4 linked regions of the Struthio camelus genome follow. The protein of the gene in region 3 purifies or fractionates together with the protein of the main gene of each other region. This does not show direct contact. Links are inferred from orthologs where the notes say so. Each region holds a gene or a part of one and is shown on either strand. Other genes may lie near its edges. The genes, in order: KDM5A, ARID4B, SIN3B and SUDS3.

Region 1 (7,418 bases), on a different chromosome or scaffold from region 3:
TAACCTGTAAAGTGATGCTTTTCCTAGCTGTGTTAAAAAAATAATAATAAAAAGTCAGATCTTTATAAACAGAATACTATATATGTTTTTGCTCTCCACAGTCAAGATCCAAATTCCCACCTAGCAATTTCTCTTTTTGAAGATAAAACACATAGATAAGAAGAATCAGCATTCCAAGGAGAAAAACAAGAGCAATTATTGAAACAGAAGTACAAGGTTAAAAAAAAGTTATAAAGAATTTTCCTGTATGCCTTAACACTGCACAAGAGTCTCCTCCCTTGAGTATTTTTGCAATATGCAAAATTCCATAAGGGCACCCATTTACAAGCCAAATAATATATGATGTTTTGGTATATGAACAGAGCAAGCCTTTGAGAAATGTTGCAGGGAAAGGAAAAACCAGGACAGACTAGGGACTTGCACGGTTTTCAATAAAGCTCCCACGCATTTTTGAAACTTAAAATTAATTAATTGTAACTAGACCTATAAAAAAAACACTTCATTTTAAGGCTTAAGAGGCATTATCAAGGTATATAAGCATAAAGTAACCAGAGGCTTAAGAACAGCAGTAAGTATTCTAGGAAGACAAATACATATACACACACACATATTTTTTTTTCCTCAATCCCTGTGGAGTTTTGAAGGCTAGACACTGGCTGCTCTTACTATACAATATGGTATTTGGCATCCATTTTAGAGATTTCCAGTTGAATGTGAAAAACTCTTGTGGTTATTTTGGGTAATAAAATAAAAGCCAGACTTTTCTCAAAGCCATGGAGAGTTATTTCACCCAAACGTTGCCAGTGCCAAGTATAAACACTGATGTGGTCTATGGGTTTCTAAAGTCTCCCCATTCATAAACTTGCCAAGATGCAAACCACGAGCAAGGAGACCTACTGGTTTCAGTGCAAATACAAAATTAAATCGACAGTGGAAAAGCTCACCTCCAGCTCATTCAGGCGCTGGATTCGTGGAGTGAAACGAAAGCTTTGTACTTCACATGCAAATGGAGGCTGCCAGTCCTAAACAGAGACAGGAAGACTTTTTAGTGCTTCAAGAAACTTCTGAAGAGCGCACAGAGATAGTAACCCTAATACCCTAATAACTTCTGAGCAAACAAGTTTCCAACAGTAAATGAGTTTCTCAGTACAATTTGCATTACGATTTTCCAGTTTCATGACATTATAATGCTTTTAACATAATGTTCTTCCCATAATATTTAAGTTAGAAGAAAGAGAAACTCATAAAATTAAAAATATAAATGAAATATGGTTTAAAGCATTTCTGCGTATACTGTTTTATACCATGTTTGAATATGAGATGCCCTGTAGGTTGGTTGTTTCTTAAAAAAAGTTCTATATATCCAGCACACCGCAAAATCTCACTATCAACAGTGACAGCCACCAAATAAAATACCTTATTATGTGTCTAACTTTATTCATGTTTGTCTAGAGTCATATTTCAATAAAGATAGGAAGACCAGTTGGTAGTCTAACCCTTTAACACAAACACAGTCTCAAATAATGACTTTCTTAACCTGATCAGCAGTCGTTCAACCAGAAGTACCTCTCAGCGCCATCTCTCAAAACTGTGTTAGGACATCAAAATAAACACAATTCAGCTCTTCAGTACTTTCTAAAGACACCTTAAAGCACTTTAGATAGCCTATCTGACAGAAAGTACAATGGTGTAAGGACGCAACGTTCCAGATGGACAAGACAGGCTAAATATTTATTATCTGTATTGCTACAACATGTAAAGCCCCAAGCAAGATCATAAAATATTTATAGCTCCTACTGATGGAAAAGGATAACGAATCAGTAAGATTAGTATAAAGTGTCCGATGTAGTCCTTATTGCAGGTTGCAAATCAACCTGACCCCTGCGTCCTGCAAAACACTGCAATACAAACAGCTAAACCATCATGGAGAAATATAAATGTGCTTGACTGCTAAGAAAGTTCTAGTTATTCTCAATGAATAGGATCTGGATCAGTTTCTTGTGGCCTCTCAGTCTAAGCCATTCTGCTTATTTTAGAAAGGGCAGCCCCTCAGAGGTCAAGTTTTCACTATGTCATTAAACCAACTAAACAGATTCCAGCAACCCAAACAGATTAGGAGGAAAGGAAGGATCATGAAATCTAATCAGCAACTCCTGTATGCAGGATGTTCTCAATTACATTTTCTCTTTTGAGGTTCTTCTTTCTTCCTGGGCATTTTTAACTCTCTTACATTATGGCTGCATTTAAGGTTTATTTGGGCATTAATTTTAAAGACTGTAAGAACCTTTCTCTAAGCTGCTTGATGTTCTTGTCCAAATGGTTTACCAGGTCACAGGCCAAGTCATCATAAAATAATGATCTGATCATCCATCAGGTCACCAGAAACACTAAGCTTCTACTTTCTAAGCTGCTAGACATAAACATAATTCCTGGGCACAAACAGGTTGGCAGCAGTTCTATTAATAGCTACAAGATTATGTTTATAAATAAAGATCCGTTAAAAAGGAAAATCCTTCCCACCCACATCCCCTAAGCAGCAAACTCTTCGTTTCACCTACAATGCCTTTATAGGTTTCAGAAACGTGACAGTGGGTGCGTGTGTTGTTGTTTGTTTGTTCTTTTTAAGTAAGAAGAGCATGAAGCCCAGGACATCGCCATGCACTACTAGCTTCTCACCTGCTCCAAAGCAGCCTCTACCAAAGCCATCCCTGAGGTCAAAGACCGTACAGGTACGGCATGCCCCTGGCAGGGACACCAAGGCCTACACCAAAGGCGACACACATAAACCCCAAGCAGCCCGAGGAAGGGACAAGAAACAGCTCTGAACCTGCCCCAGCTGCCTTGAGCCCCCGCAAGCTCGGCCGAAAAGCGCCGGGAGGGGGGGGAAGGGTCCCTCCGGGCCCGCTCTGACCCCTAAGCACACGGCGAGGACGAGGGCGAGGCCGCGGACACCCCCCCCGCACACACCCAGGCGCAGCCCCACCGCCCCGGCCGCGGGCGGGCGGTACCTTGGGGGGCCGGATCTTGCAGATGCCGGTTTTCTCGGCCAAGCCGCGGATGCGGCCGATGAAGCCGAGGGGGTCGCTGAACTCCTCCCAGCTGGGCTCGAACACGGGGCACTCGGGCGGCGGCACGAACTCGGCCGCGTAGCGCGACCCACCGCCGCCCCCCGACATGGCGGCGGCCGGAGGGCGCCGAGGGCCGCGGCGGGCAGGGGACGGCAGGGCAGGGCAGGGCAGGGCAGGACGGTGCGGCCGGGCAGGGGCCGCTCGGGGGCACCTCAGGGGCGGCCGGCAGGGCTGGGCCGGTGGCCGAGGCGCATCCTCCGGCGACGGCGGCAGCTGCCGGGCAGGACGGCCGGGGCGGGCGGGCGGCGGTTGGCGCCGGCGGCGGTTGCCGTGCGCCGTGTCGTGCCCCGTCCCCCGGGGCCGCCTTCCCCCCTCGGAGCCGCTCTCGCTCTCGTTCCAGCTCCCCGGAAGTTACGCGGCGGTGTATGAGCCCTCCCCCGGAAACGGAGAGATGGTCGTCTTCCGATCGAGAAAGTAGTCCCCTCCGCCACGGCAAGGCGGCCCGCCGCGCGGACGGACCCGTCGCCCCCCGGCCCTGCCGCTGCCCGAGCGACGACGGCCGCAGATCGGGGAGCTGCGCTGCTCCACTCGCGCCCCCTCACGGCACCCTACGGCGCGGCCCCGGTGGGGGGGGAGGGGCCGCATCGCCTTCCGCCGCGGAGGAATGTGCGGCGAAACTCGAGCCATTCACTTCCGGTGCTGAAGGGCCATTTCCCCCATTGTCTGCGCTGGACGTCAGGGGAAGCGCCGGGAGCTCCGCCCCCTGCCACGCGGCCCCGCCCAGAGCGGCCGTTGGGCCCCGCCCAGAGCGGCCGTTGGGCGGCCCCCGTCGTTCTCGCTGACGCCATGCGGAGGCCCCGGTCAGGGAAAAGGGGAACCAACCTGCTAATTAAGTACCGGCCGTGCCACAGGAGGGTGTTTCCTTCGGAAGCTTACGTTGCATCGTTAGACAGTGTTTGTTTTGAGTGGGTTTTTTTTCTTCCAGGTTTTTGTTGCGGTTCTTCAGGAAAGAATTCCCACCGTGATTTTCATTTTTGGGGCTCTGGGTCAGCTGTGCCCGAGGTCTGTGCTGCTGGTGAAGCCGGGAGAGCGTTTCGTGGGTCCTAGGCCATGTCCCAGCACGTTCACGTCCTGCAGCGTTGACGATGCGGAAAGGAAATGTTGAATTCTTTTGGCAAAGGGCAAAGCGTGTCAGTGACCACAAGAGCCAGCTGCCCTGATCCGCCCTGTTTTGGCCAGCCTTGAGTTCAATTTCGATTAACTGATTTTAAGACTGGTTAATGCACATTTTTCTTCACCGCTGTACCAATTCAAGCCAGGCTGTCTCCTTGCTTCTTGATTAAGATCTGAGAAAGCTGGCCAACAATAAATGACAGCGTTTTCTGAAGAATTCCACAATCAACCCCCAAGTTCTGTATTATGTATAGGCATTTTGCACCCTCTCATCCCAGTAAAGAAATGTCAACGTTTCCAAAGTCAAGTACTCACAAGTTAGGACTTGCTTGCATTTAGGGTAAGCTACCTAATTAACCTATCCGTTATGACACAGTCTTTTAAAAAAAAGTTACTTTTTAAAGTTACTTTTTTTTAAACCATAATGCTGGCCTCATTTACTGTTTACTATATTCCACAGTTCAATTTATTCTGTTTATTACATAGTCCCAAGCTTGTTTTGATATACCATTTCAGTCTCAGCCTAGAAAAAGTAATTTCCTCTTCCTCTTGCCGTGAGGTTTACAGTATCTGCTTCACAAAGATTAATACATCTATCAGCGCCATTTCCCTGCTAGATTGAAGAGGTGTTGTGTGTATTTTATATATGGGAAACACATGGTTTCAGTGCAAATGTTTAATTTTGGCAAAATTTACGGGCAACAGCAAATTGATCTTACAAAGTGTTGACCAAGTTTGCTAATAGTTGCTGAGTTGTTGCGCTATTATATTTTGCCTAGGGTTCTTGACAAGGATGCCCAATGTTTTTATGAGTGGAAAAGCATGTGGAATGCAGATGTTTCCTTACCACATATCTAGAAATTACCCTATATTCCTACATATTCCTGCCAAATTTTTGTAATCTTTCCTTCTGAAGAGCTATACAGACACTTTTGGCAAAATGTCTGCGTATAGAGAAACCACTCTCATTCTCAACAGCCGAATAGCCAGCATATCCAATTTCCAAGATAAGCAGTGATTTAGCCGGAAGTCCTAGGGAAAAAAAAATCTATGCTAAGAAGGACCTAATCCATGCAAAACTTTTGTTTTGAGAACCAGTTGATTTTCTTCAAGACTGTTCAAGGTTGTTTTGTTTTTGTGTTAAGATGTTTGGGCTAGTGAAGAGTTCTGGGACAGGTGCAGCTTTTTCCCGACAGACTGAAGAGCTAAAAATCCCTAATAACCTGGAAGGGGCATTTGTTTCATTGTATCAGTTTTGCAGGCTCTCCTCATTGTATCAGTTTTGCAGGCTCTCCTTTTTGCAACAAAATTTTATGCTTCTCTCAAGTTACCTGCTCCAGACTGGGGATTGTTAGCCTCCAAAACATTGAACCATGCTACGATTTCTGTACCCCATGTTAATCTTTATTTTTTCTTGGTCATCTGGAACTATGTATCACTTCCCTACTGCGGGAAGACTTCAACCCCTTATACAATGTTCTCAAGCTGCTTCATATGAACTGGAGAAAAGAGGTAGTGTAACAAAGGAAAATAACAGCTATTATTATGGACTTTATCTAGAAAATTAACTACCCTCCCCTTTCCCTTTTCTGTGTTTATTGAGAAAACTGATTTGAAAAAGAACTTTACAGTTTTGTAAGTAAGCCTTGGGTTTTTTTTTGTTTTTGTTTTTGTTTTTTTTGGTAATACAAAATGTCCAATTTTTCAAGGGAAAGGTTAGGAAAAAAGCTGTTTTACTCATTTGTAGGGTTTTTTTCCCTGCATACTTTGTAACTACATTAGCAAACACTGTGTTGCATATTGAATATGTTGTAAGAATACTAAGCACCGCTGGGTTTGGGAAGACACATGAGGGGGATGAAGAAAGTAAAAAATACTTAGATAATCTAAAAAATAATTTAGATATTCAGCCACAATTTGAACTAAGCATTTATTGTAGCTGCATCATAACTCTGGTGTTTCATTTAGTTTATTTTCCAAGAAAAATGGCATATCTGTTTTTTTGCCGTTGCTTATGAGAAGGGTTTCCATCGCAGGCTGCGTTTATTTTACCCAGAGACCTAAACCTCACTGTCATGCAGATCAGTTCACTAAGTGTTCCTCTGCCAACTAAGAAGTCCTCCAGTAATCTATATCCTGAGGTGATGTTCTGCCAGGGGAACATTCACTATCTGAGGAATCTGTCTCTGGAGAAATGACAGTGGCATTATTTGTAGACCAAAACCAAAAGCTGTAACTTCAGAAAAGTAGCAGTCGATTATTTTAAAGGTTCTGAGAAGCACGTTCCAGTATTTCCAGAGACCTGACACTGAGAAAACGTTAAAACACAGGGTAGCATGTTGAAGTATATTGAGATACACAATTTTTCTGTTCACTACTGGGCATCCCAAACCAGATGCTCAATATGCCAGCCCTGAGAGGCAGCGGGAGGGATGAGAAATCCCCACAGACGGCAGAAATGCAGCACATTTCAGTCAGGTAGAGACACCATAACGCCACGGCGAGCCACGCGCCCCCGCAAGGCCACCCGGCCCACGCCACCCGCGCACGCGCAGTGCCGCCACCGCAGGCCGCGGAGTTCCCCCCCAGAACTACAACTCCCAGACGCGCCGGCGCGGATCGGTGCCGCCCGTGTCGCCAGCGCTGATTGGTAGAGGCGGTGGGGTGGCATGGAAGGCTGCCTGTGGTTGGAGGGGGCCGCGGGCGGCAGGTTGCCTCGGTGTTTAAGTTGTGGACGGTTGGTTGTGTCGGTTGTTTTGTCGTTGGGGCCGTTGCTGCGCGGAGCGGGGCCGCGCGTAGGTGCGCGCTGCTAGCGTCAGCCTCCCGGCGGTTGTCCCTGGCTTGTTTGGCGCCGGACTCCCGAGAGCCTTTATCCCGCGGAGCGACGCTTCCCGGGAGCGACGGGCACGGCCCGGCTGAGTGGCTGCGCCCGTCCGGGCCTCTAACCGCGGGGTCGCCGGCCCTTCCGCCAGGGAGCCATGAGCGCGACGGACCGCTCGCCGGGGGCCTCCCCTCCCCGCAGAAGGTAGCGTGGGAACTGTGTCCCGCTCCGCTGCCGCCGTAGTTACTCCGCTCCTAAACCACCCTCGCGGGTCCGGTCCTGCCGCCGACCACTGCGCGTAGTTGAGCTCTTTCCTTTCTGCCTGGTAGGCAGGCTTAACGTAAGGCACTGCTTTG
Region 2 (7,586 bases), on a different chromosome or scaffold from region 3:
AAGAATAAATGCGCTGGGAGCTTTTGTTAAAGTCTGGCTGTGTTAACAGGCTGCTTTCTTTGTTACTTTAAATTTAAGCATTTGTTATACATTCAGTTCAGCCTGGAGAGGGGCTCTATCACCATTTCACAGAATACTTTGTATTCCCACTTGTGATCCGACCTTCTCATCCTCCCAACTGTCTATCTACATATTTATATGTCTCTATAATCAGAACCTAATCTCTATGGTAACCGTAGGATTTGTTTACATGGAAAAAGAATATTAGAAATGTACGTAAATTTAGCTGTCATTTAAATAAGTGGTTTTGCTTGTGGGGGAAAATAGCTCCATATACTGCCTCCTATTTCCTTTGCTTCCATCTCCTGCATCCCTGCTAGGCAATGGGCCACAGCTGAGAAGCTCCGTATCATACTACATTGACAGTCCGTTGTTTGTAAATTCATAAATAGTTTACTTCTAATGAGAAAGATGTGTGCAGCATTTTAGATCTTAACACTTACTAGAGAGAAAGCAGAGGAAGGGCACTTAAAGCAGGACTGTTTTTCCTAAGATATTGTCATTAAGTCACCAAAGTAAGCAAAACAGGCTGAACCTTTAACAGCTATACAAAGGCCCAGTTTGCTACTCTTAGTAATATCATATCAATCTAGAAATTAAAAAGTCTATATCATCTACCATTTCCAGCAGCGAATACAGTACAGGGTACATATTTTACATAATACACAAACTGATATGCAGTAGCACAACTCTGATAGTGCAAGATTCCACATACATACTGCTCTTTTTATTGATGAATACCAATGACCTGATGCATCATAGCTTCATAATCATCATTTTTGGTAAGGTTTATAATATTTTGAAACAAGATTCACTGCAGCCCAGCATAGCCAGGATCTGGATTACACAACCTGGGGGTCAGGGTAATATAAAAAGCAGCTCAAGCGAGAAATCAGCAGCAAAATGACAAAAGGACTAATAATCTCAGTTCTTAAAAACTACTTTTAGGTGCATGGTTCTTTGCCATACATAGAAGAAATCATTTTATGCCACTGATTTTTTTTTTTCTATAAAACTTTGTCCAATGTATCAAAAAGCAATGGTCCAGAAAGGCCTAAGAGAAGAAAAGTGCACTCACTTTGTGACAATTTTGTATGTGACTAGTACACGGCACTGAGAAGAAAATTAAAACCTGTTTGAAAATCTTTTTGCACCTTACAGCAATCATTTCGCTGCAGAGAATCTCTTACATGCTCCCTTCCTGATCAGATCAGGATCACTCATTCAACAAAACTCCTCTTAATGAAGAGAAGGCAAGTAAATCTACCATTTACCCTCTATTCAGAGAAACACGGCTGTGTGGCCAGCATTTCCCCTGCAACATTACTTTCTCAAGCTGGGCGACTGTCCCCTGTTCCTCCATGAAGCAAGCTCAGCCCAGGCAGCCATGTCCTTATTCTCCTACAAACAATGTTTCTGAAGGAGAACAGCCCTCTCTCAGCGAACTTGCACTTTCCCCAGCAAAACGTGGTGGAGCAAAACCCGCCCCACGAGCAGCCAAGGAGCGGAGGCACTAACACAGCATTGGGGCGAAGCAGCCCGCAGTCTGGATCCGCACCAGCGCCGAGCCTCGCACCGGGGTCGGGACAGACGGACTGACAGCCAGGACGGCATTTCTTCACGTAACCTTGCCTCCCCTCCCCTCCCAGACATACAAGTGAGTGTTTTACCTTCATGATGAGCTCAGGCTGCGGTAAAAGCCTCGATCGGGGCTGAGCGGCCGAGGCTGGACCTGGAATTTAAAACAAAGCACTGAGGCACCGCACCAGCCGCTCGCACCGGGCGGGGGAGGGGAGGGGAGGCCAGGATCGGGGCGGGAGGGGGGGGGGGAGGCCGGGCTCCTGCCGAAACTCCCCCTCGCCTCCCCCAGAGCCCCCCGCTTAGCCCGCTCCCCTCCCTCCCCGGCCACCGCTTCCCCTCCAGCTCCCGCACGCCGCGGCTTCCCCTACACTCGCTGCCATTGACGCCATTTCTGTCAGAGGAGGAGAAACTTGCCACAACAACAACCCACCCCCAGCCTCCCCGGCTGCCGCGGGGGGAGGCGGCCCCGGCTGCCTTCCCGGGGCGCTGCGCCCCCTCCGCGGGCACCGGCAGGAGGCCGGAGGGGCCCGAGCCCCGGGCAACCCCCCCCCCGCCTCCTTCCCCCCCCAACCCCCCGCTTTGCCGCGGGGCGCCGGAGAGGGGGAAGGAGGAGGGCGGCAGGGGAGGAGGGAGGCTCTTCCTCCATTGTACGAGGAAGAGGAGTGTTTGCCTGCGCCGTGGGGCAGGGAGGGTGTCGTCGGGGGCAGCCCCCCACCTTTCCCCTTCCCCCGCCACTCTCACGCTTTTGCAGGGGCTGCGGCTCCGGATCGCGGCGGCTTCCCCCCCCCCCCCCCCAAAAAAAAAATAAAGGAAAGCGCTGACTCCGCGGCAGGAGTTTCAGCAGCAACAGCCGCAACTCCCCAGCTCGGCGCAGCGGGTCGGGGGGGGGGGGAGGGACGCGGCGGAGGGGAAGAAAAGGAAGAAGAAGAAGAAAAGAAGGGAGTGGGAACGGGGAGGGAGGGAGGGGGGCGGGGAGAAAGGGGCCCGACCTGCTCAGCGGGGACACGGAGCCTCTGCGTGGAGGAGGGGGCTCCGGCCCCTGTCGGCAGGCGAAGGGGGCTGGAGGAGCCGCCGGTCCCTCCCGCACGCAGGCGGCACCCGATCCCCCTCCCCCCCGCCGGGTGTTTGGGGGGAGAGAGAGAGAGAAGAGAAGGAGGATCGGCGAGTCCCGCCGCAGTCTCGCTCCGAGGAGAAAAACAACCGCCCCCCTCCCCCCCGCACGCACGCCCGGCCGCCGCGGCCCGGCCCCGCGCCCCCCCCCCCCGCGCCCGCCGCCGCCGCCGCCCGGCGCCTCTTTCTCCGGCTCGTCGCTGTTACCTTTGTTCCGCGGCGCCCGCCCGCCCGCTGCTCCCCCTGACCCGAGGCGGGGGGGAGGGACGGGAACGGGGCGAAGCCTCCTCTCAGCTCCGGACCCCCCTCGCCCGGCCTCGGCCCCCGGTCAACGCTCCGGCAACGGCTCTGGTAGCGTCTGCTCCGTGCTGCGTGTGGCGGGGTCGATCCGTCCGGCTCGGACTCGGCGGTGGCGGCGGCGGCGGCGACGGCGGTGACTGCTCGGCTCGGAGCCTCTCGGTTCCCCCTCCCCCTCCCGCACCGACTGACTGACGGACGGACAGAAGGGCGGGAGGGAGACGGACACGCCCCTCTCCCCGCCTCCTCCATTGGGCTCCAGCCTGCAAAGCCCCTCCCTTCCCTCTGCCCCATTGGCTGCCGCCTCGGAAATACTGACGTCATTCTTCTCCAGTTCTATGGAAACTGAGAGTCGGCACCGAGAAGACTTATGGGTGCTGCTGCTTTCCCTCGCCGCTCACCAGGGCTCGAGAAGCGGTTTGGCACACGAGCCTGACTACATATCCCAGGACGCACCGCGGGAAGGGGCCGTGAGGGGACGGGGCCGAAGCCGAATGCTAATTAAACCGGGGGCGGAGCTGGCGCCTGCGCAGTGAGGCTCTGGTGGCGCATTTTCCCTCAAGAGGGGGGAAGGTGGCGCCTGGCGAAGCGGAAGGGGGCGGTGCTTCGAGCGTCGTTGGTGCTGCTGCTGCCGCCGCCGGCGCCACTCCTGGCGCGGGCCGCTCGGGGGAGCGGAGCGGAGCGTGGTGCGGCTCCGACTGGCGGCGAAGAGGAGGTGAGCGGCGGTTGCTGGGGCTGAGGCCGCGTGCGAGCGGCCGCCCGCGGCTGTCTCGCGCCGCCTTCGCCGACCGTTACTGGTGGGAGGCGGCTTCGCTGCCCGTGACCGGGTGTGTGGGGCGGCGGGGGAGGGGGGAGGAGAGCAGGCTGTGCTCGTCAGAGGAGCCGGCGCTTCCCACTCCCCTTTGGAGCGGGGCTCGGGGCGGTGAGGGCGAGCCCGGCTGGGAGGGGAGCGGCTCTCGCGGCCGCCCCGCCCAGGAGGGGCTGGCCGGTTGCCTGGAAGGGGCCGGGAAGGGGCTGTGAGCAGGGAGGGGGGCCGGAGCCGGCGGCTGCGGCCGCCGTGCGGGTTGGGCGGCGCCGGTGGCGTCGCGGGCTGCCTGAGCGGCCGAGGCGGGCGGCGCTTCCCTGCCCGGCGACTGAGCTCGGGCTGCCGGCCGCGCCGATCAGAAAATGGGGATGGACGGCGGGCAGGGGGAGCGAGGAGTCCTCAGCGCGCTCTCGACCGTGTCTTATCTAAAATGGCGCTGGTGGTGCTGAGCTGCCCACTCCTGGGTTGTGGGAGCGCTTCGGAGAGGTTCTGCAGCCTCCTTTGCGTTTACAGCGCTCGCATCAAACTCTGAAAAATGAACCGTGCCGCCTTTGTTGCGATTATGATGGGGGAGGGAGGGTTCACGCATCTGTTAGCAGGGTAACAACTTCATGTTCTTTGCGAAATGCGACTTTTAATCTGAGAAGCGATTCTGCAGTAGGCATGACTCTGGTCTCTGCTGGTTTGCTTTCTGTGTTTGGATCAGCTGATAACTTGCACTCTTTCTGTCTGTATGCTGCCACCACTTAAGTGTGGGGACTTCAGGAGGCTGGTTCTCTTCCTCTTGCTGCTGTGTCGTTGTTACTCAGTTGTACCGGGAGATATTGCTGAAATTGTGTTTCCATTTCAACACGATGTTCTAGCTGTTCTGGTGTTGCAGGGCTAAAGTGTTAAATTGCAGCCATGAAAAGACAGTAATTTAGCTGCTTTTTTTGAGGATGCCTTACAGCCATTGTTCAACCTGTGGGATGTTGCCTACTCTAAGTGCAATATGGTTTTGTTCAGTATCAGTCCAGGAAGTTCTAACAAGAACTCTTCTAGTTAGAATGAGAATGTGAGCTAGGATGACAAGCATCCTGTCCAAATCCCAGTTGGATTAGGAGCCTTGATAGCCTCTTCAATTCAGTGTGCATTCACAACAGTATCTGTTTATTCCTTCTGAAACAGACTTTCTCGCTCCTACTTCCCCCTGTGTTGGGGCTTTTTTCCTTGGTTACAATGAAACCAGTGTCCCAGTGAACCTCATTCTGTGATGAGGCTGATTTAAGAACTTTCTGGGTGGTTGGGTGTTTTTTTTCAGTGCAGTTCACTGCTCCTTTGGTGGCTCTGTTTTATTTTCTGTGCAATTGTGTTGTGAATGGAGCCCTTGAGATGAGGCAGCTTTTTTTAAAGAACCGTTTTCTGTTAGGTGTATATGTAGCCTGGAACACTTTGGTCATCTTGCTTATTTCACCAATTGGAGCTGAGGACAAGGGCAGAGAATATCCTGCGGAGTGGAAGGGATGGAGTGAGAAGCTGTTTATGAAGTTCAAAAGTGAAGATTTACTGTAAGTGCAACATAGGTCTAATGTTACTTGCCTCCTTTGGAAAGCTCCTATTTATGGATCACTGCTTCAGTAATTATCTCTAGTAGTTCCAACTTCTGGAAGCCCATACTGCTGTTCTTTTCTAGCATCTTGTGTGTTTTCAGTGAGATCATTAAAGATAAAGTATGTTGCAGTTCAAAAGACAGTTCTGTGGGTTCTGTCTCGTCACGGCGTGGATTGTGCCTATAGCAGCTGTTCTACAGTATGCTTATATGGAGCTGCTAGAAAAAATTCAAAGCTTTGTGTTAATTGACATGCAGGAAGTGTGTACAGTTTGAAAGAAAACTGAACTAAGCAAAATTGCCTTAACTGCCTTAATTTTCTGAATAAACCTACATGCAAGATTGCCCTTCCACCAATAAAGGCTTTATATTCCCTTTCATTTATTGTTGAAGTTCTTGCAGCTCTACTTTTTTGGGAGATGTTGACTGAGATCTTGTCTCAAATTTTCTTAAATGAGAGGACTTTTTGTAGCAGTGTAACTTTTATAGTAAGTTGATCAGCTGCCTAAGTGAAAAATCCTTAATATCAATAACTTCCTGTGGTGTGTTAAATGTAGGAATTTTCTGCAAAGAGCAGTGATGTTACTGCTCTCCGTCTTCTCTCATGCTTCATTATATTCTTGCTGATCAGCCTTTAAGCGTCTTCATTTACATATTTCATCAGGTGTCCTCTTTCTTATATAACTTTGGGGAGTTCTAGTCACTATTCTTTTTTGCTGTGTGTGTTAGACAAGTAGTTTTCTTATGAATGATTAGACTGTTGCTTTTTCCCTTAGCACAGGTTATCTACCATTTCATGTAGAGGTAGCATAGCAGCCTAGAAAAGCTTAGCTATGGTAATTTAAGCTAAGTCACCAACCATTATTTGTCTCTTAAAGTGTTTTTCCTTATGTCTGTCTTGAAAAGGAAGAAATCTAGGCCCTTGTAGGGAAAAGTGTCTGGCTAACTTTCTGTGGATAAGCAGTGTCTCAGAAACTAATATAGGAGACTTCTGTCAGTTTAGCACTAGAAGGCTGGGGATTTAGTGGTGTAATACCAGCCTATTTCAAGCTAGTTAAGGATCTTGAATGCTGTTTGCCTGTCCTACAGACAAGAAAGAAACCTTCTCATCCTCTGAGGGAAGAAGAAGAAGAATTTCAAGGTTTACTTTCAAGCAGTTTGTGTTGGGAAAGACTTCAGTCTTAGCATGCATTTAAGCATAAAAGCATTTACTGTGCATGCTCATTGTAGACTGCTTTTCTAGCTATGAGAAGCCTTGACAGAGAAGAAATTCCAACCTTAGCATCTCTCTCTTTAGCTCTGTGGGTAGCTAAACACTTCCACTTCTAAGCCAGCTGTGTGGCTTTTTGGTGATAATAGTCATAGGAGATGTGTTAACTTGGTTAGTGCCTCCTTCTGTCTTTCGCTACAAGTTTCTTTCTGGTCAAAATATCTGACGATGGACTGGGATAATCTTTTTGGTTGTCCTTCCTCACTGAAGAAGTTTGAGGCTTGCCCTTTAGGTATGAGGGTGCAGTTTCACAGCTGACTTCCTCAGTGGCAGTGCTGGCTCAAAAGCAGTTCCTGTCCCTTCAGTTATACCAATAAGATGACACAAAAAGAGTTGTGTTAAGCCTGACTTAGATTATGGTGTGGCCTGACAGTCAGTTGTGCTGGTACACCATGAGATGGAAGAGCTGTACCACTTATTGTGGCATTGCTGATGAAAACCTATGCAAAGCTTTCCCAAACGGCATGGTCTTATGAGTGTTTCTTGGGCAACTGTGCTTGCTTCAACAGCCTCTTGCCTCTGAAGTTGCAGTGTGGTTTCATGTAGTGAACCAAATGAAGGAACTGATCTAGACGTAAACTTGGAAAATAATTGTTCGTGTGAATTATTTCCCCAGTTTGGGCTGCTACAAATATTTATGGGGCAGGAGGGTGGGAATGGGAGTAGACAGGGACTGAATAAGCTGCCACTGAAAGGGAAAAGATGCTGAAATGCTGAGGAATGCCAGTTGGTCCAGGTGTCTTAAGAGGAAGCAGTGATCTTAATGCTAATCCTCTGAATTGTTGAGGGGAAACTACATTGCTGGATTATTTTGAGCAGGTGTGGAAGAGTTTAGCCCACTGGTGTTAACTGCTCCCTTTAATATAGCTATATTA
Region 3 (7,388 bases):
TTATCCAAACAGAACAGAGAGAATGTAGTTAAGTCTCTTCCAACCAATGAAAAAGAGGAAAGTTCACCTACTGGCTGGTAGGCTTTTCCATAATATTTTGCATTCCTAAAGCTTCTTTATGTATTCTACCTACAAACAGAGAGAACTCAATATTCTGCCTTACATGAAGCATACACATACCAAAGACCTTTTAGCCTCTGGGAGGAACTGTCCAAACTCAGACAGCAGATCCTCCTGCCCCCGGAACAGGTTTGCTACTTCGGTAAACACTTCTTCCTCTGACATGCCTCGAAAGGGTCGGCCTTTAGTGTTCAGCTGTTCTTTCTGAAAGATACACACAGATGTTCAATAGCTATAAAAACATACCTCATTATGCAAGAAAATTTCTTAACTCCATAGCAGCCAGCAGCCAAAACCAAAGACCCTAAGCAATATGAACAAACTTTACATAACATCAGCTAGCCCAAGGTTCTTATAGTGCATCCTATCACACAGAACATCATTAAATCAACTGAAAGTTAGTAAAGACAGATCTAGATACAATCATTTTATGCCTCAGAGCCCAGAAAGTTCAGCAATTTTCACACATTTGTCATTTCATGTGAATATCTACGAGGCAATTGTTGGACAAAGGCCAGCGCTTGGGAACTGTGCAAGCTTGTTCAATAGACAGATGTTTCATTTGACCACACTGTTCAAACAACTACAGTGCAAACCCACAGGCTTTTATATGGAAGACTTTTTACCTGGTAAGTATGAAGAATTTCTAAAAAGGATCTGTAAATTTCTGGATGGTCAAGGAAACGTGTTTTGATCTTATTCACATAACTGATGGCATTATTGAATTCTACAGAATCAGACTCCAAAGGAATTTGGGATTTATCTTCTTTGTATGGAAGCTGTTGCCTAAACTCCTCCGAACAATCACTATGGTTGTGCGAATTCTCCTGAGAGTAATGCAACAACAGCCCGCTGCCAGGGAGAGTGCTGGGAACAGGCTCTGAGGGCACCTAGTGGCACAAGATATGCAAGACAGTGACTTGTAAAGAAACACAGGTGCAAGTTCAACAATTTAGCATCAGTATTTTAGAGCAGTTTAGCTAAAAAAAGATTAACGCATAAAGGAGAAACAAAATAGATTTAATGTAGCCAATAAATTTCCTTATTTATGTCATTAACATCATCAGGTAAAAACGTCCCATAAGCCATATCTGGCTTACGAACTATCTGATTCATTAATGCTTCTGTCGCTACATTATCCACTACGCTTGAAACGGTAGAGAAGCCACGAATGTACCAAATAATCTGCACTGCAGCTTCTATTGCCACCGTTTTATTTCTGAAGAACTGTCAGTTCTAAGAAACATATTACAACACAGGGCCCCTTAAAGGTGCTAAATTTATGAGCAACAGAGGGATCTAAGAGAACTGAGATCTAAAAGAGATTTACTGCTACTAATTAGAGTTAAACCATTTGTTTGTAAGTAGGATTGAGGTGATAGCTCTATTTCAGATTCCACAACCACACAGGAAAAAGGGAAGCCAAGACCAATATGTATCTATTTATATTACAGCAGATGTCTTTCTTTGCAGGATTTGAACAACTGGATGACAACACCTGACTTTTTTTTTTTTGCCTATTGCCTAAACATATTTCTCATTTTCTTACTAAAAGACTGGAAATACGATTCTTCCGGGATTTTTTTTTTTCAAATTTGACATTATACGCTATGCACTGAGAACATATGTCAACATGTCAAGCCAGTGACAGTTTCAGTTTTCAAATTTAACTGAAGCATTTGGATTTGCAGTGGCAATTCATTCGGGAATTTCATTCCTAGTTTAGCAAGCTAAAGTAACAACTAGTTTGAGAATAAATATTTAGATTTATACTAAACCCATCCTCATAGACTTTGAAAACCACATAAAAACCTTAGATGTACACGTATTGCATGTTGCTTTGTAGCCTAAACTATGCAAGAGACCTATATAGGGATACATATACCACAATTCAGTTAGAGTAATATAAGTGCTTTAACCTACCTGACTAGTCAGTGGTGACTGTATACTTAACTTCCCATTCTTTGGAATTTCTATTCTGTAGCCCAAAGGGAGGAAAGCATTGAATCCTACAATGAGGTCGGGATGCTCATGGAACAGCTGTGAAACACGCCTGATTACTCCAGGGGTGTCAATGCTAGAAATGAGAGGAGTTTGTTACTTGCATCCAAACCAAATATACAAGTTAAACCCAGAAAATTACAGAGGTATGTCAAATGTCTGGTTCCTTAGAGATGCAATTTTTAACAAGAAAGTTTGGGATCCTCAGACCTAGAGATCAGCCCAAACAGAGGGAATGACTGCCATGCTCTGCAGCCTCCCACTGGAAACAAAACGTTCTCCACAGAGCAGAGACATGAGTGTGCAGGTTACCCAAAACAGACACGACAGCCATCGCCTCTAGGGCTGGCAGGTCACAGAGGGGCTCTGCGCTCAAGCTCCTTGTCCAGATCTGCGTTTCAGAGTGGGCAGTAAAAACAGATTTGCTTTTCCCTGTGCGTTTTGGCTCTAGGAAAGGATGGAGCAGACGATGCTGGGATGGATGGAGACCCTCCATCTCCCGAGTGTCTAGCTGACCGCGCTACAGGGGGACAGGACCAGCACGGTGGCCTGTGTGGCTGAGGAGGCGGAAGGCCGGCGTGAAGGCTGGGGGGACCCCGCAGGGCCGAGGGGCCCCCGCACAGGTCGAGGGGCCCCGCGGGGGGGCCCAGGCGTTACCTCTGGCTCTTGAACTCCTTCATGATCTCTAGGAAGCCGTTGTAGGTGGCGGGGTCGCTGCCGAAGCGTATCTTCACCTGGTCCAGGTAGGAGAGCGCATCCTCCACCTGCGGGGAGCAGACGCGGGTGAGACCCGACGGGACGGGGGAGGGCCGGGACCCAGGGCGCCCCGCGGCACCGGGGAGGGGGGGGGCACAGGCCCCGGGGCGCCCCACGGTCCCGGGAAAAGGGGGGCAAGGGCGCCCCACGGCGCCGGCGGGGGGGGAGGCGCCGGGACACCCCGCGGCACCGGCGGGGGGCAGGCCCCGGGGGCGGGTTCGGCCCTGCCGACGGGGCGGGGCAGGTCACGGCGGGGCGGGCAGGGCCTTCCCGGAGGGTCGAGGGCGGCGGGGAGCGGCCCTGCGGGCGAAGGGGGGAGGGGAGGTAAACGGCGACGGTCGCGGGGCGCCGCACTCACGTGAACCGGCAGCTTCTCCTGCGCCGCGGCCCGGCCGCCGCCGCCGCCGCCCCAGCGCGGGGCGCTGCCCCCCCGGCCGCCGCCGCCCCCCGCCGCCATGTTGGGAGTCGGGCAGCGGGCAGGAGCGCCCCCCTCCCCCCCCCCCGTCAGCGCGTGCGGAGCGCCTTGCGTCAGCGCGCACGGCGCCGCCGGGCCCGCCCGCCCGCCCGCGCTGCACGGAGCGGGGCGGCGCGGAACGCCGAGGCGCAGCCCGGCGCGGCTCGGAACCTTCGCGGCCGCCGTCGGCGCGGCCCGGGGAGCGTCGGCGCGCGGCACCGCTTCCGGCCGTTCAACCGTCATGGCGGGAGGCGCGCGGCTGAGGCGGCCGCTCGGCGGCCCCGACCCCGGTGAGCGGTGCGGTCGGGGCGGGTCACCGGAGGTGTGGGGCGGCGGCGGCGGTGTCCGGAGCTCCCGGTGTACCGGGAAGCGGTGCTGCTCGCAGGGGAGGAGGGAGGTTGAGCGCGGGCAGGCCTCGGTGCCGAGCGCCCGCTGGCAACTTCTGCTGATCCGTCGTTCGGCCGCCCTTCGCGGTAGAAGCCGAGTCCTGGTTTCGGCTTTGGTGTAGCTGGATGAAACGTGATTTTTTTGCTTACTTACCTGTGTTACGTGATTATCGCTGTGGTGCGTGACAGCTGTTGGACGATGCCAAGATATCAGAAGACTCTGAATAACCACAGTAAGGGAATTTTCAGCGGCATTTAATGTTGTAATTCTAAAACACTAAGGCAAAAGAATATAGCAGATGGAAAGAGAAACCTGTAGGCTCTACCCTGGATGCTTATGATGCCTAATCCTTGTCATCTTTGCTGTTTATATCACTGAGCAGATTTGAGAGAGCTTGTTGGTACGAATCAGGTTCCCAGAAGAGCTTCTTTGGTTATATTGTTGCTTGCTCAAGTTTCCCCCTTCTTTCTTTCTGGATTTTACTGTACACGTTGCCGTGATGTTCTGGAGGGGGTTATACTGAGGAGATGCGTTCTGAGGACAGTGAAACCGCTCGTGAATGATATAGCCGAGTTGTGTTGTTGCAACAAACCCATCTGCAGTTGGTACCATTCTGCTAGCAGTTGTGTATATGCACTGTGCGGCTAGTAAGGCACCTACAGAAAGCGAGGGCAGAATACAGGAAAGGACTTGCTGTGTGGTAGGAGACCACTTAAAACATGTCACTATCTTCACATGGTCCCTTGTCACCAGGCAGTTTGGATTCAGTGAAATTAGGTCACTGATGTTAAATGAAGAGGGAGGAGGAGGAGGGGGGAATAATGAGCCATATTATTTATTCTCCTTAGAACATTATTGATGTTTTACTTCGCAGAAACTTACGGAGATGTTAGCTTGCTTTGCCATAAAATTTGATGCTGGTATTTAAACCCAGAATGCTTTCCCCTTCTGTGTGCTCGAATGCTTACTACTGAAGTTCTGTAACTGCAGCTTCTTGTCACAATTATGATATACTACTTCTGGCTTCAATAATGTTCTACTTTCAGTTCTGGTAATCGTGTGGGATACATGTTCCCTATTGCAGTTTCTTATTGCAATGATACAAGTTAGGGAATCCAGGCAGGTAGTTGTAGGATACTTGTAGGGACCTAGAAAAGGGAAGCTTAGCGCATGTTCTGAAGTAACTGTAGCCTAATAAAGTCACCTTTGTTCATCAGCAGACTTCTTTGGCCAAGATATTTGGCTGTTTTCTGCTCTAATACTCAACCAAATGAGTATCTGTGCACCAGCTGTTGCTGTATGGCATGTTTCCCTTCTTACAACATAAAGAATGGTATAAGCCTGTTTAAATACAGGGAGTAGTAGATACTTGTTTCTCATAATTGCTGGAATTCAAAATTACTCACCACTTGCAACATCCCAGACTGTAATGGACTGATCCAATGCTCCAGTGTACAAGTATTTATCATCTTTTGAGAAGCAAGCACAGCGAATGCCTTTCAGGAGGGACGCAGGCTAAAAAATGGATGATGGTTAGGATTAGATTGTTATACTGATAAACATAGGTTGAGATGAAGAAGCCTTAGAGCATTCAGCAGTTATTCAGTCCTTAAGAGCAGGGGTGAAAGTATAACTAAATAAAGGTTTTTACAAGGCAGAGCAGTCCTGGAAGGAGGGTGGGAAACGTCCTTAGGCCCTTAGCTTGTGAAGCACCCTGTAGCTGTGCAGAAGAAAGCCTAATATGATCACACAAAAACCCATTTTTCCACCTGTGGAAAGGAGTAGTTTGGACTCAACCATGGTATATTGTCAGGTGAAAGATTAACAGAATACATTCAGCATTCTTCACTGCTTTTGTTTTACTGAATTCCCCTGAGCTGGCCCTATTTACACCTTCTGTTGCTTAAACAAAGCAAATGACCAACAATAAGATCTAAAAAAATAACTCCTATGACTTATGTTTGAGTGTCAGAATGGTATTAACAGCACGCATTTACTTTGACAGCATTTTTGGACCTGGATACCTTAACAGTGCATCTAGATTATACGGCTGCTTTAAAATCAGACCTAAATTGCTAAAAAGAGGTTGCTGCTTGTCAGTTGGAACAGCTCTGTACAGGATTTGGGTATTCTCTTTAAGAGCTGGGATTCCTGTGAACTGAATCCTCTGTGATAGCTTACGGCAGTAATTGACCATAGACACTGTCTTCCCTCTCTGTCAGTGAAGTACCTTATAATAGTGCATCTCATGTTCCTGCTGACAAAACTCCAAGTCCCAGAGATGTTGCAGAGAATCTTCAGATCTGCTGAGCGCCCACTGCTCTCCATGGCTGCTTTCCAAACAGGAGATCTGGCTTCTGTGAGCTTCCAAAGGAAATACTGCGGATTGAGGGCAGTCATAAAGGAATAAGTCCCCGCTAGTCATGCCGTAGAGGACTCTGTAATCTGCGAGGACAGCCACACTGGAAACCAGAGAGCCAGGGATCTGGGTATAAAAGGTGTAGGTGGGCCTGGTGATCACTGGGCATGGATCTGCAGGGATAATATCCAGCACAAGGACTAAATCGTCATATGCTATGGCCAGCTGCTTTTCTCTCTTGTTGACTGCGATATCATTGACTGGTTTCTGTGACTCTGGAGGTGGGATGCATGCTACATCCTGCCTGGAATTCAGTGGAAAGATAAGGACTGTTCCAGACACAAGCCCAGTGAAAAGGAGCTGGTTTTGCTCAGCTATTTCCAGGCATCTCACTTGGGCAGAGGTGTCCAGTGTGTCACACACTGCACCTGTAAAAAGAGAAGGAAATCAGCAAGACTGTTCTTATTGCACCTGCATGTGAATGTCCCATCAGGTGGGGTTCAGGATGGCTCCTTGTTTGTGAAGTTATTTGTATATTATTCGTATTTCAGATTTTTCCCTTGTCAAAATAATAAGCTATTCTAGACAGAAACTTTGGAGAGGAGAATAAGAAGCTTTCGAAGCCTGAATCCTGTTCTTTTGAATCTCATGCTTAGGAAAAGCAGAAAGGAGCAGACTGTCTTTGTCACACATGCTCAGAAACTAACTCTGCCTTCACTGCTTCCACCAATTGCTCTGTTTCTCTCCTACCCCATATGCAGGCTTAATTTTCCACGGTGTTTCTGAGATGCAGTTCACCTTCTGTGGTGTCCCAGATGATGACTTTATGTCTCTCTTCAGGCTGGGTAAAATAGACATAGTTCCCACCATGCGACAGTGCAGTGCAGCCTGTCTCTGGGACAGGTGCCTGGGTTTTCTGCTGCTGATCGTAAATGAGGTTCCACACTTTTAGATATGGTGCGCTGGAGGAGGCAGAGACCAAAGTGCAGTCATACAGGGCTAAGAGGGTTGCTGGTGCCCCCATGCCATCCAGCCTGTCGGTCCGCAAACCCTGGTCTGTTAGACTCCACACCTGGAAAAAATTGGAGGGAGAAGTCAGGACCTGAGCGACTGTTTTTTCTCTAGCCTTATTTAAGAGGTGAAACAACAGATCTTCACTGACTTGTACAGAAGCATAAGTAAAGTCACATGATGATAACCTACTCCTAATCTAGAAAACAGGATATTGAGCAACTACCAATACAAAGTTACTCTTAAACAAATATTTAAAGTATCTGGAGCTATTCACTTGCTGCCTTTGCTCTGGAAGAT
Region 4 (8,405 bases), on a different chromosome or scaffold from region 3:
TTACTATGCTAATGACCACTAGCAAAATAAGCTACAGTACTCTAAGTGGTGTAGTTGCTAGTAAAGTTTCGTTCAAAAAAACGTAAGCAGACCTTGGAGAACAGATCGGAAGCCATTTATTCTCACCCAAACACAAGCACTGAAAGCTGCAGCCAGGAGCGCGAGTCCCCCGCTGCTCCCTTACCCCGTGAAGGTCTAATCACGTCCTGCACCGTGGAACAGCTTCAACAGGAGAGGCAAAGAGCGTCCCCGCGTCCGTAACTGAACTGCTTACATCTTCCTGCCTAGGCCACTATCCTGTTAGGTGGGTAACGTGATCTGAAACCCTCTTGGACAGGAAGTGGAAAGGAAGACAGGTCTCACATAGCTTCTTTTCCTGTGGGGCTTCTCTGCAGCAAGGGAGGCCGTACCAGTACCACCTGGTTTGCCATTTTTAAGAAAACATGGCAGCTGCCACTAGCCCGCGTGCAGAACGGGTGCGTACTCCACGCACCCACGAGACCAGCGCGCGGCTGCTAGAACGCAACCGGGGGAAAACACCCTGCTTGCAGATAGCAGCAACGGCTGGGCACGAACTCGGCCCTGAGCTGCTCGGCTCTGCCAAGGCTGAGTAAGCAACCACAGGAAAACTTGGATGCCACCAGGGCTACTCAACGGCTACTAAAGTTTTACAAGCGTTATAGTTATAGGATTAGGTAGTTAATTCTGCCTACTTTCCTGTGAAAAGTGAAAAGTGAGGCCCTAAATTCAATTATGCACGTATACATATGCATGTGCGTGTCCGTGCGCATATAGGCATATAACCACCAGAGATCTAAGAGCCCAGCACTTGCTTCCAAAACACGCAGGTGGCTCCTTCCCTCTCCCCGCTCCACAAATAAGACCACTGCTAGACTATGCTTAGCACCTACCGTAAATGACTTCTGGACGTCATTAAAAGAACAGGGGCGTCTTCCGCTAAAACCGAGACAGCGTGCTTAAGTTTCAACCCCGTTTACAGAAAGCGGGCGGGAGCGAAGCTCCCCTTTCCCCGCGGGCTCCACTAAGCCCGCACGAGTGCCGCTCAAGTTACGCGCTCGCGAGCGGACCGGTCTGAACGGGCAAGTGTCACCCGCCCCGGCCGGGACAGCGCTGCCGGCACACGGCACCGCCGCTGCTCCCCCCCTCTCCCGCCAGAGCCGCCTCCGGCCCCGGGGAGAGCGCGGCCGCCGCGTACCAACACGCGCCCCGGCGCCCAGCGGCGGCCGGAGCCTCCCGCGCCCCTCTGAGGGCCGCAGCCCCCCCTCCCCCCGCCACCGGGCGGGCCACGCGGCCGGTGCCAACGGCCGCCGCCCTCACCTGGCGCCGGGAGGCCGGTGGCGGCGGCGGCGGGCCACGTCCGCGCCGCCCGGGAGGGCTGGAGGGAGGCTGCCGCCCCGTCCCCGCCGCTTCCTGCCACGGCCCCGCCGCCGCCCGACGGTGCGGCCCCCTCCCGCCAGGCGCGGCCAATCGCGCCGCCGCCTCGGCGCTCGACTGCGCGGCCTGCCCGCGGAGGCTCGCCCAGGGGCGGGGAGGACTGGGGGCTGGGGAGGGAAGCATATCGGTGCTCGGCTACGCAGCCCAGAAGCTCAGGCGAGGGCGCGGCGCTCCATCGATAGCTCCCGAGAGACGGCGCGCGACTTAGCTACCTGAGCGGCCCACGCCCAGCCCCGTGGGGACGCTTTGGGGGCGGGTCCTGGTCTCGCGCCAGCCGGGCTCGATTCAGTCCGCCTGCTCGCGCGGGGCAGGGCGGGGGGGGATCGGCGGTCGATTGGTAGCGGCCGGGAGCCGTTAGGGCTGCGAGGCCGCCGGGGCCCGTGACGGGGCGGCCGCGAGTCTGTCGGCACCTGCCGCCCGGGGCGGGGGAGCCCTGACACAACCTCGGTGCCCGGTGGCAGGTCGCCCCGGGGGGAGGGGAGGGGAGCTGAAAGGAGGCGGTCCGGCTCGCGGCGATGTGCTTGGGGAAGGACGGGCCTCGAGGGAGGAGGCGGAGTTTTAGCAGTGGCCGAAAGGCCCGAATTAGGAAGAGCTCAGGGCAGAGAGCCGGGGTAAGGCGATATAACGCTTTTCCTGCCACGCTTGGCTGCTGCGATTCTCTGCAGCCCCTGCATCTAGCAGCGAACGCTCCTTTCTTTACAGTTGGACGGTCCCGCGGTGGCATATCCTTTGACTTTGGGGTACTTTTCTGCCAAATAAAACGGAAGGACCACGGGTTTCTGTTCTACCAGTACCTCACACCGCCGTGTTCTACTGTTTTGTTTCTGGCAGCTATTCTCTTGCTGGGCTTTCTTCTAAGCCCGTCGTCATGTGGTCCTTTGAAACTAAAGGTACAACAACTTTACGTTCCAGGCTAAGGGTGTTGTTACGTGTTCTGTTCTTCAAAGGCCAAGGTGCTGTATTGTAGGTTTTCTAGTATAGTCATCTAATTTGCACAGTAGATGAATTGTCATGATCTCTGTTTACAAGCTGAGCTTGGTAACTTTTTTCCCCAGTTCTTACGAATGGAAAGGAAAACACACTGAGCTTGGCTTTGGTGTCAGTTACTCAGTGAATGGTCAAAGCTGACAAAGCAGGATGCAAAAATCTTTCCTCAAACCATGTGCATGTGTATAAAATAAAAAATGAGTTGTGATGAGAACAACAGCTTTAATGACAACATGCGCCAAGTAAAATAGCTTGAAAAAGAAGTTTACATTTTCTCTGATAGCTCTTTGGGGTGTAGACAGTTAAGCTGCTGTATTTGTAAGGGAAACGTGACATTCCTTAAAGCTGAAGCTCCTCCCTCGGGTTCCCACTGAATGCCTGAGAGATGACAGTATAGGGTGGCTCCAGAAGGCTAATATTAAACATGAAGAATTAGTATGGAGGGAGCAAGCAGTAAGTGAGATTCTGGTTTTAACCACAGAATGAGCTAAAAATTTTTGCATCAGCAACTACGTGCAGTTCCTTACTCATTCACCATGCACAGCTACTGTTCAAAGGATTCTTGTGTGCCCTCACATTAGTAAATGCACCTGCCCTTTGTATGATGTGTGAAAGATGGGCTTCTCTTCAAGGATAAATCTGCTTCAGACAATCAGAAAATGCTGATGCAGTGTAACACAGGATAAATTGACCTTCGAAGGGCAGCCTTGGTTCAGGCTGTTCTCTTACAACTGGTTTACTCATTTGCTATCCGCAGCAGTTAAAGCTTGCTGAGGAGCTAAACGTGTGGACACACGGAAGAAATTCAGAAAGGAAATGTGAAAGAGCTCATTACAAAGGGGAAAAGCTCTAAGTGGGGTCTGATTTGTTCTGAGAAAGGGTTTTAGCCAGTATGAGTTCTATTTTTAACTCTGATGCAACTGTATGACTTTGGGAAAGTTATTTAAACAACTCAAGCCAGGTGCAAGTCCCCGGGGAGAGGAAGTACCCATTAGCACACTCTGGTGCAGCTGGGGGACTCAGTCAGCTCATGTGATGTGGCAGCAGCCACCGCACCCTTTCCTGTTCACCCTGTGGCCATATGTGGTCCTAGCAGCTATTGCTGCGTGGAGTGGGGAGAAGCAGAAGGATGCTGATAACCCACAGCACCCGGTGTTACTGAGCAACAGAGAGACGGTCAGCAGCTCCAGTATTTAGATCTCCAAAGTGCCAAGTTAAATGCCCTCAAACAGAACATTCCGATCACGAAATTGCTCTAAATAGCATTGACTTTTAGCTGTGTCTCAGCATCATCTCCCGTAAGAGGTAATATTTACTTATGTAAAAATGGTGTCATGCATACTTTGCATGGGTGTTCCAAGTTAAAAATTGTCAGTCAGTGCAAACAGATCTTCAGGATGACCTGCAGAAAAGCAAAGTGCATGTATTGTATTGCATTATTGCTGTTCTTTTCAGAACAAAGATTAGGTAGGACCTGGTACTCTCCTTGGCTTGTGAAAAGCTGGTTTGGCTAGTTTAAAATAAAGGCACTGCAGTGTTTTTGAGTTCAATCCTTTTTTGGATAGAACCTATTATCTTTTATTTCCTTTTTCCTGGTTAGATGTTTATAGTATCTCAATGAGTCAATAGGTTGTGCATTTGAGGAGCGTCTCTTGTGACTGTCAAGGTAAGCATTTAGCACAGCTCTGCTAGAGGCAGTGAAGCTAATTGGTCAGTTCGTCCCCGGTGACTTACGCTTGCAGAAAAGGGCTAAATGAGACAGCCGGGAATATCAATTTGAGACTTTTTCATGCTGCCTGGGATCATGTGTTTAGTATGGTGCCCGTACGTGTCTCACTGTGGCCTCTGTATCTTCGTCCTTAACTTTGTAGCAGTGCACAGGCAGGAGAATAATCTATATCCGACAGCTGTGAAGTGTCCATAATGGTTCTGGACCCTTTTGTTTTATGAAAGCTGCTATTTATTGATGTGAAGTAGCTGCTTTACCTTGTGCGTGTGAGATCACAGCACCGTGGTGGCAGTTTGTTGAGGAACAAGGAAATCGTTTATTGGGGAAAAAAAAGTAGAAAGGGTATAGAAGCGTCTTCAGAAGTCCTTTCCCATCGCTATAACATCCTACTCCAGATTACCTGGTGAGCAAAAGCATTATTGCAACTCCTGTGGCTTGTGATGGAGGCATTTCACTGGGATAGATGGGGTCATTGTGGCAAAAATGAGAACATTGATCTCTGGTTGCCAAAATCCCCTTTCCCCCATAAATCCCTTGAAGGGGAAGCGCTGCTGGTTGGCAAAGGCAGCACATAAGTATGCGCAAGGTGTGTTTTTATGCCTTAGCACAAGCACAGAGCGGAGCTGTTCCCGTTGGCAGAGGGAAACGCAGATTTTGCTCCCAGAGCCCTGGGCGCAGAGGTGTCTGCTGAGGGGCCTGCGGGCAGCTCGCTGCTGGGCAGTAACGCCCGCTGGAGCTGCGCGGCTCTGGGCCGCCACGAAGCAAGGCTGCCCTGGAGAAAGAGCCCGGCTCTCGTTCACGTCCGCAATAGGCGGGAGCTGGCCAGAGAGCTGGGCGCGCCGGCTGCTCTCCCGCCGCGGTGGCAGCGCTAGCAGGACGGCTGGAGATCCGCCCCGCTGACGCGCCCGGACCCGGCGGGGCCGGGGCTCGAACCCGCGGCTCGAACCCGCGGCCTCGAGAGAACCGCTCCCGCCCCGCCCCGCCGCGAGGACCCCGCCCTTAGGTGCCCGCGGCGTCCGCCGGGCGGCCGGCCCGCGCTCGGGCAGCGGCGCGGACAGCCCGGAAGCGGAAGTGCGGGGCCTGGCGCCGTTGCCGAGCGCCCGGCGGAGGCGGCGGCAGCGGCGGCTGCGTCCCGTCGCTATGAGCGCGGCCGGGCTGGTGTCTGCCACGCCGCCGGCCCCTGCCCCGCCCGGGGCGCCCGCCGGCGCCATGCCCCCCGGCCCCGAGTACTACGAGGAGGAGGAGCTGGAGAGCGCCGAGGAGGAGGACGGCGAGCGGAGCGCCCGGGCCCGCGACTCCGACGAGGGTCGGTAGCGGGGGGGGGGGGGCGCTGCGGGCCCTTGGCCTGGGGAGGCGGCGGGAGAGCGGGGCCGGCGGAGAGCCCCGGGCGGGGGGAGCGCGGAGCGGGTGGGTTTCGGCGGGGCCCGTCGCCCTGGCAGCCGCACCGCTGCCGGGGAGGAACCGGGGCCGCAGCGCGACGTGCAGCTCCTCACAAAGGTGACGGCTCACTGCTCAGGGGCGCTGCTCGCAGCGCGACCGGATTAAACATGGGAGCCCTTTCTTTAGGGTAACTTAGCTATTTAACTGTTCTTCTTGGAGTTAAAACACTTTACTTTCTCTTTGGTGTGTTGTTTTTTACCTTAACGTAAATAAGCATAAGGTATTTGTTCATGGTTTAAGAAAAATCTGAGAAAGGCTGGATTTAAAGGACTGATTACCTCCGTTCCCCCCTTTATAGAGAATATAGCTGTAGTTTAGGCTTTACAGTTGTAGCCTTAAGTCAATCTCAACTCTACCTTGGAGAAACTGGCTTTCCCTGGAAGAGGAAGGGTAATTAATTTTTGGCTACCTGGTCTCAGAAATAGGAACCTTAAAAGGCAACAACAGAAAGCTAACAGTGCCCTGTTAGTTTATTTTACTTATAATTATCTGTTGGCAAAACTGGGGCTGTGTTTATGTAATTGTGATAGTCTTTGCTATGTGTAAATGGTGAAATACTTCTGTGAAATATGTAGCAGAGATGTCAAGTTCAGATCTTAGCAAATAACTTCACGTATTATCTTTGTAAGCCGTAATGGCATCTAGTAGTAGCGTTTTTCTTGTGAAATGCATTTCAGAGTCTTTGGGTCGTGTTACCATCTCACCTCTGTATTTGTGGGCACTAATGTAGAATCTGTTGTCTTAAATTGGGAAGAAGCTGTCAGGGTATCTTAAGCTGAAGTCGTTCAAACTCGATGTAAGCTTCATTGCAAGCCTACGAGTGAATCTATGTGGGACAAATTGCAGTTGCAGGAAGCAGATGGGGTGGTTCAGTTCACTGCTGAATGAGTCTTTCCAGAGGCCTGTCGAATTGTAAAATGGAGAAGTTAAATTGCCTGTTCTTTTTAAAATGACTTGACTTTTTTTTGCTTTTTAATATTACTTTAGTTTCAACAACTCATTCTTTACCTTTTTTAGATACTGAGGATGCTAGTGAAACTGACCTGGCAAAACATGAGGAAGAGGACTTTGTGGAAATGAAAGAACAGTAAGTAACCTAATCTAATAAAAGTAAGTCAATACTTAGTTTTCTTTGCATAAAACTTTGCAAAGTTTTAGGCTGAAGTTAGGGACTTTTGTAAGTTCTTTGCCCAGTGTAATAGTTGATGAGTCCATATACACCTATCTCTTCTTTCCTCAGTTACTCTCTCTCTGTTCCATGTGTGTTCAAGGCACTAAGTGCTGCTACCGTTCTGAACAACAAAATAGGTGCAGGTTGAGGGAGCAACTCAATTTTGCTGCAAATTAATTCCTCGGCAGAAAATTCTTTTAAATAAAACAATGGACCTACTTGATTCAAGCCAAGTCAAAAGCAAGTTACCTGTTAAAATCCCTTAAGAATAGAATGCCAGCAATGTCCAGGAAGATGGGAGTTTTGGGCACTCGAAATAGCTTCTCTTGAAGTTTAAGTCTATTTGCAGCACTTTGTGGTCTTGCTTACTGGCAGAGAGATGGTTGTATACAGGTCACGAAGACGCAGCCTGTGGTAAACTGCAGATAGGTGAGAAGGGAAATACAAAATCTATTCCTGGTGCTTTTGGGCTTGCTTTTAGCTTTATTGATGTGGGTGCTGGGGGAGGCTTGCTTATAACTTCAAGTCCTCTGTAACCTGAGGAAATGTCCCCTATGTTATAAGTAGGGAACTAACGCACAAATATTAAGATCTGACAAAGTGGTGTCATGTTAGATTTCTGCATACAAAAGATAATTCTACCATGACTGTTCTCAAAATAATTGATTTGGGTGTGCTGCAATGTTAATGGGGCTGTAGGATTTTTAAATTGAATGATACTTTTTCATATATTGTTTTTTGCTTTCTGGAGTTCTGGAAAATTTTTAATTCAGTATATATGCAATAACCTAAACAGATGGTGAAATAGACTCTTTGTTTTGTTTTTCATTTTTATGTAATTTTGTGTGCTCTCCCTGCAGGATGTATCAGGACAAACTGGCATCTCTTAAGAGGCAATTACAGCAATTGCAGGAAGGTAAGCTCTGTAGGAGGTAGCTTTTTTCTAAAGAATTTTCAGCACTTTTCAAAGCTGAGGATTGATTTGGGAACAGCTGCAGAGGTCGTAGAAGGATTAGGGTTTTGAAAGCTGTAAGTAGGGCCCTTCACTGACCACATATCTCGGTCATGCTCTCCTCACTGAAAAGTGTTAGCCGCTTCTGATACTACACACTTGTAGGTAAGTCTCTGCGTACTGAAGTAAGCGTTTTTTAAAATGAGTGGTCTATGTACTTTTTGGGGGAAAAAAAAAAAAGAAAAAAAGAAAGGAGCATTCTTATCAAGATAGGGAAACTAGAGTTGTGGTTTCCTGATTTTGAGCATTAGTGTTGTTGTTCCAAGTAGTTTATGGCTACCTGAGAATTTAACATGAGGAAAGAATAAAATCTCACTAGGAATCAACAATCTCTTTTTAACTAGGTACTCTTCAGGAATATCAGAAAAGAATGAAAAAACTGGACCAGCAGTACAAAGAGAGGATACGGAATGCAGGTAAGCTGCATTTCTTTCTAAGAAGCTGCCTGCAGATGAAGTGCTTCGCACCTCTTTTCCTATGACCCGAAAAAAAATAATAGGTTCTTCTTGGAACCAAGGATTCTTCTGTCTTTTTGTGGGTAGCTTGTTGTTTGTTTGAGGACGCATGAAACATGACAGAATCTATCGTGCTTTTCTTCACTGGCCTTGTTT

Evidence for each region.
Region 1: the proteins of SIN3B (region 3) and KDM5A purify together in Homo sapiens (affinity purification with mass spectrometry; 4 studies listed by BioGRID and IntAct, with this or other methods). This does not show direct contact. The link is inferred for Struthio camelus from reciprocal best matches to the Homo sapiens genes SIN3B and KDM5A.
Region 2: the proteins of SIN3B (region 3) and ARID4B purify together in Homo sapiens (affinity purification with mass spectrometry; 3 studies listed by BioGRID and IntAct, with this or other methods). This does not show direct contact. The link is inferred for Struthio camelus from reciprocal best matches to the Homo sapiens genes SIN3B and ARID4B.
Region 4: the proteins of SIN3B (region 3) and SUDS3 purify together in Homo sapiens (affinity purification with mass spectrometry; 3 studies listed by BioGRID and IntAct, counting the BioPlex papers as one, with this or other methods). This does not show direct contact. The link is inferred for Struthio camelus from reciprocal best matches to the Homo sapiens genes SIN3B and SUDS3.

What each region holds. Positions count from the first base shown.
Region 1 is NC_090942.1:68,941,946-68,949,363, forward strand, and holds the start of KDM5A (lysine-specific demethylase 5A), read right to left. Parts: upstream 3,382-7,418; 5' UTR 3,177-3,381; coding exon 3,009-3,176; intron 1,023-3,008; coding exon 945-1,022; intron 1-944. UniProt on the Homo sapiens protein: Histone demethylase that specifically demethylates 'Lys-4' of histone H3, thereby playing a central role in histone code. Does not demethylate histone H3 'Lys-9', H3 'Lys-27', H3 'Lys-36', H3 'Lys-79' or H4 'Lys-20'.
Region 2 is NC_090944.1:89,169,362-89,176,947, reverse strand, and holds the start of ARID4B (AT-rich interactive domain-containing protein 4B), read right to left. Parts: upstream 3,272-7,586; 5' UTR 2,959-3,271; intron 2,859-2,958; exon of another isoform or gene 2,631-2,858; intron 1,793-2,630; 5' UTR 1,737-1,792; coding exon 1,731-1,736; intron 1,718-1,730; coding exon of another isoform or gene 1,717-1,717; exon of another isoform or gene 1,579-1,716; intron 1-1,578. Other genes in the region: GGPS1 (geranylgeranyl pyrophosphate synthase), read left to right, coding at 4,284-4,339. UniProt on the Homo sapiens protein: Acts as a transcriptional repressor. May function in the assembly and/or enzymatic activity of the Sin3A corepressor complex or in mediating interactions between the complex and other regulatory complexes.
Region 3 is NC_090967.1:5,365,519-5,372,906, reverse strand, and holds the start of SIN3B (paired amphipathic helix protein Sin3b), read right to left. Parts: upstream 3,371-7,388; 5' UTR 3,335-3,370; coding exon 3,236-3,334; intron 2,886-3,235; coding exon 2,779-2,885; intron 2,198-2,778; coding exon 2,044-2,197; intron 1,011-2,043; coding exon 747-1,010; intron 325-746; coding exon 181-324; intron 1-180. Other genes in the region: NWD1 (NACHT domain- and WD repeat-containing protein 1), read right to left, coding at 4,085-4,374, 5,125-5,233, 5,949-6,505, 6,876-7,149.
Region 4 is NC_090958.1:7,270,460-7,278,864, forward strand, and holds the start of SUDS3 (sin3 histone deacetylase corepressor complex component SDS3), read left to right. Parts: upstream 1-5,239; 5' UTR 5,240-5,311; coding exon 5,312-5,477; intron 5,478-6,628; coding exon 6,629-6,698; intron 6,699-7,642; coding exon 7,643-7,698; intron 7,699-8,138; coding exon 8,139-8,210; intron 8,211-8,405.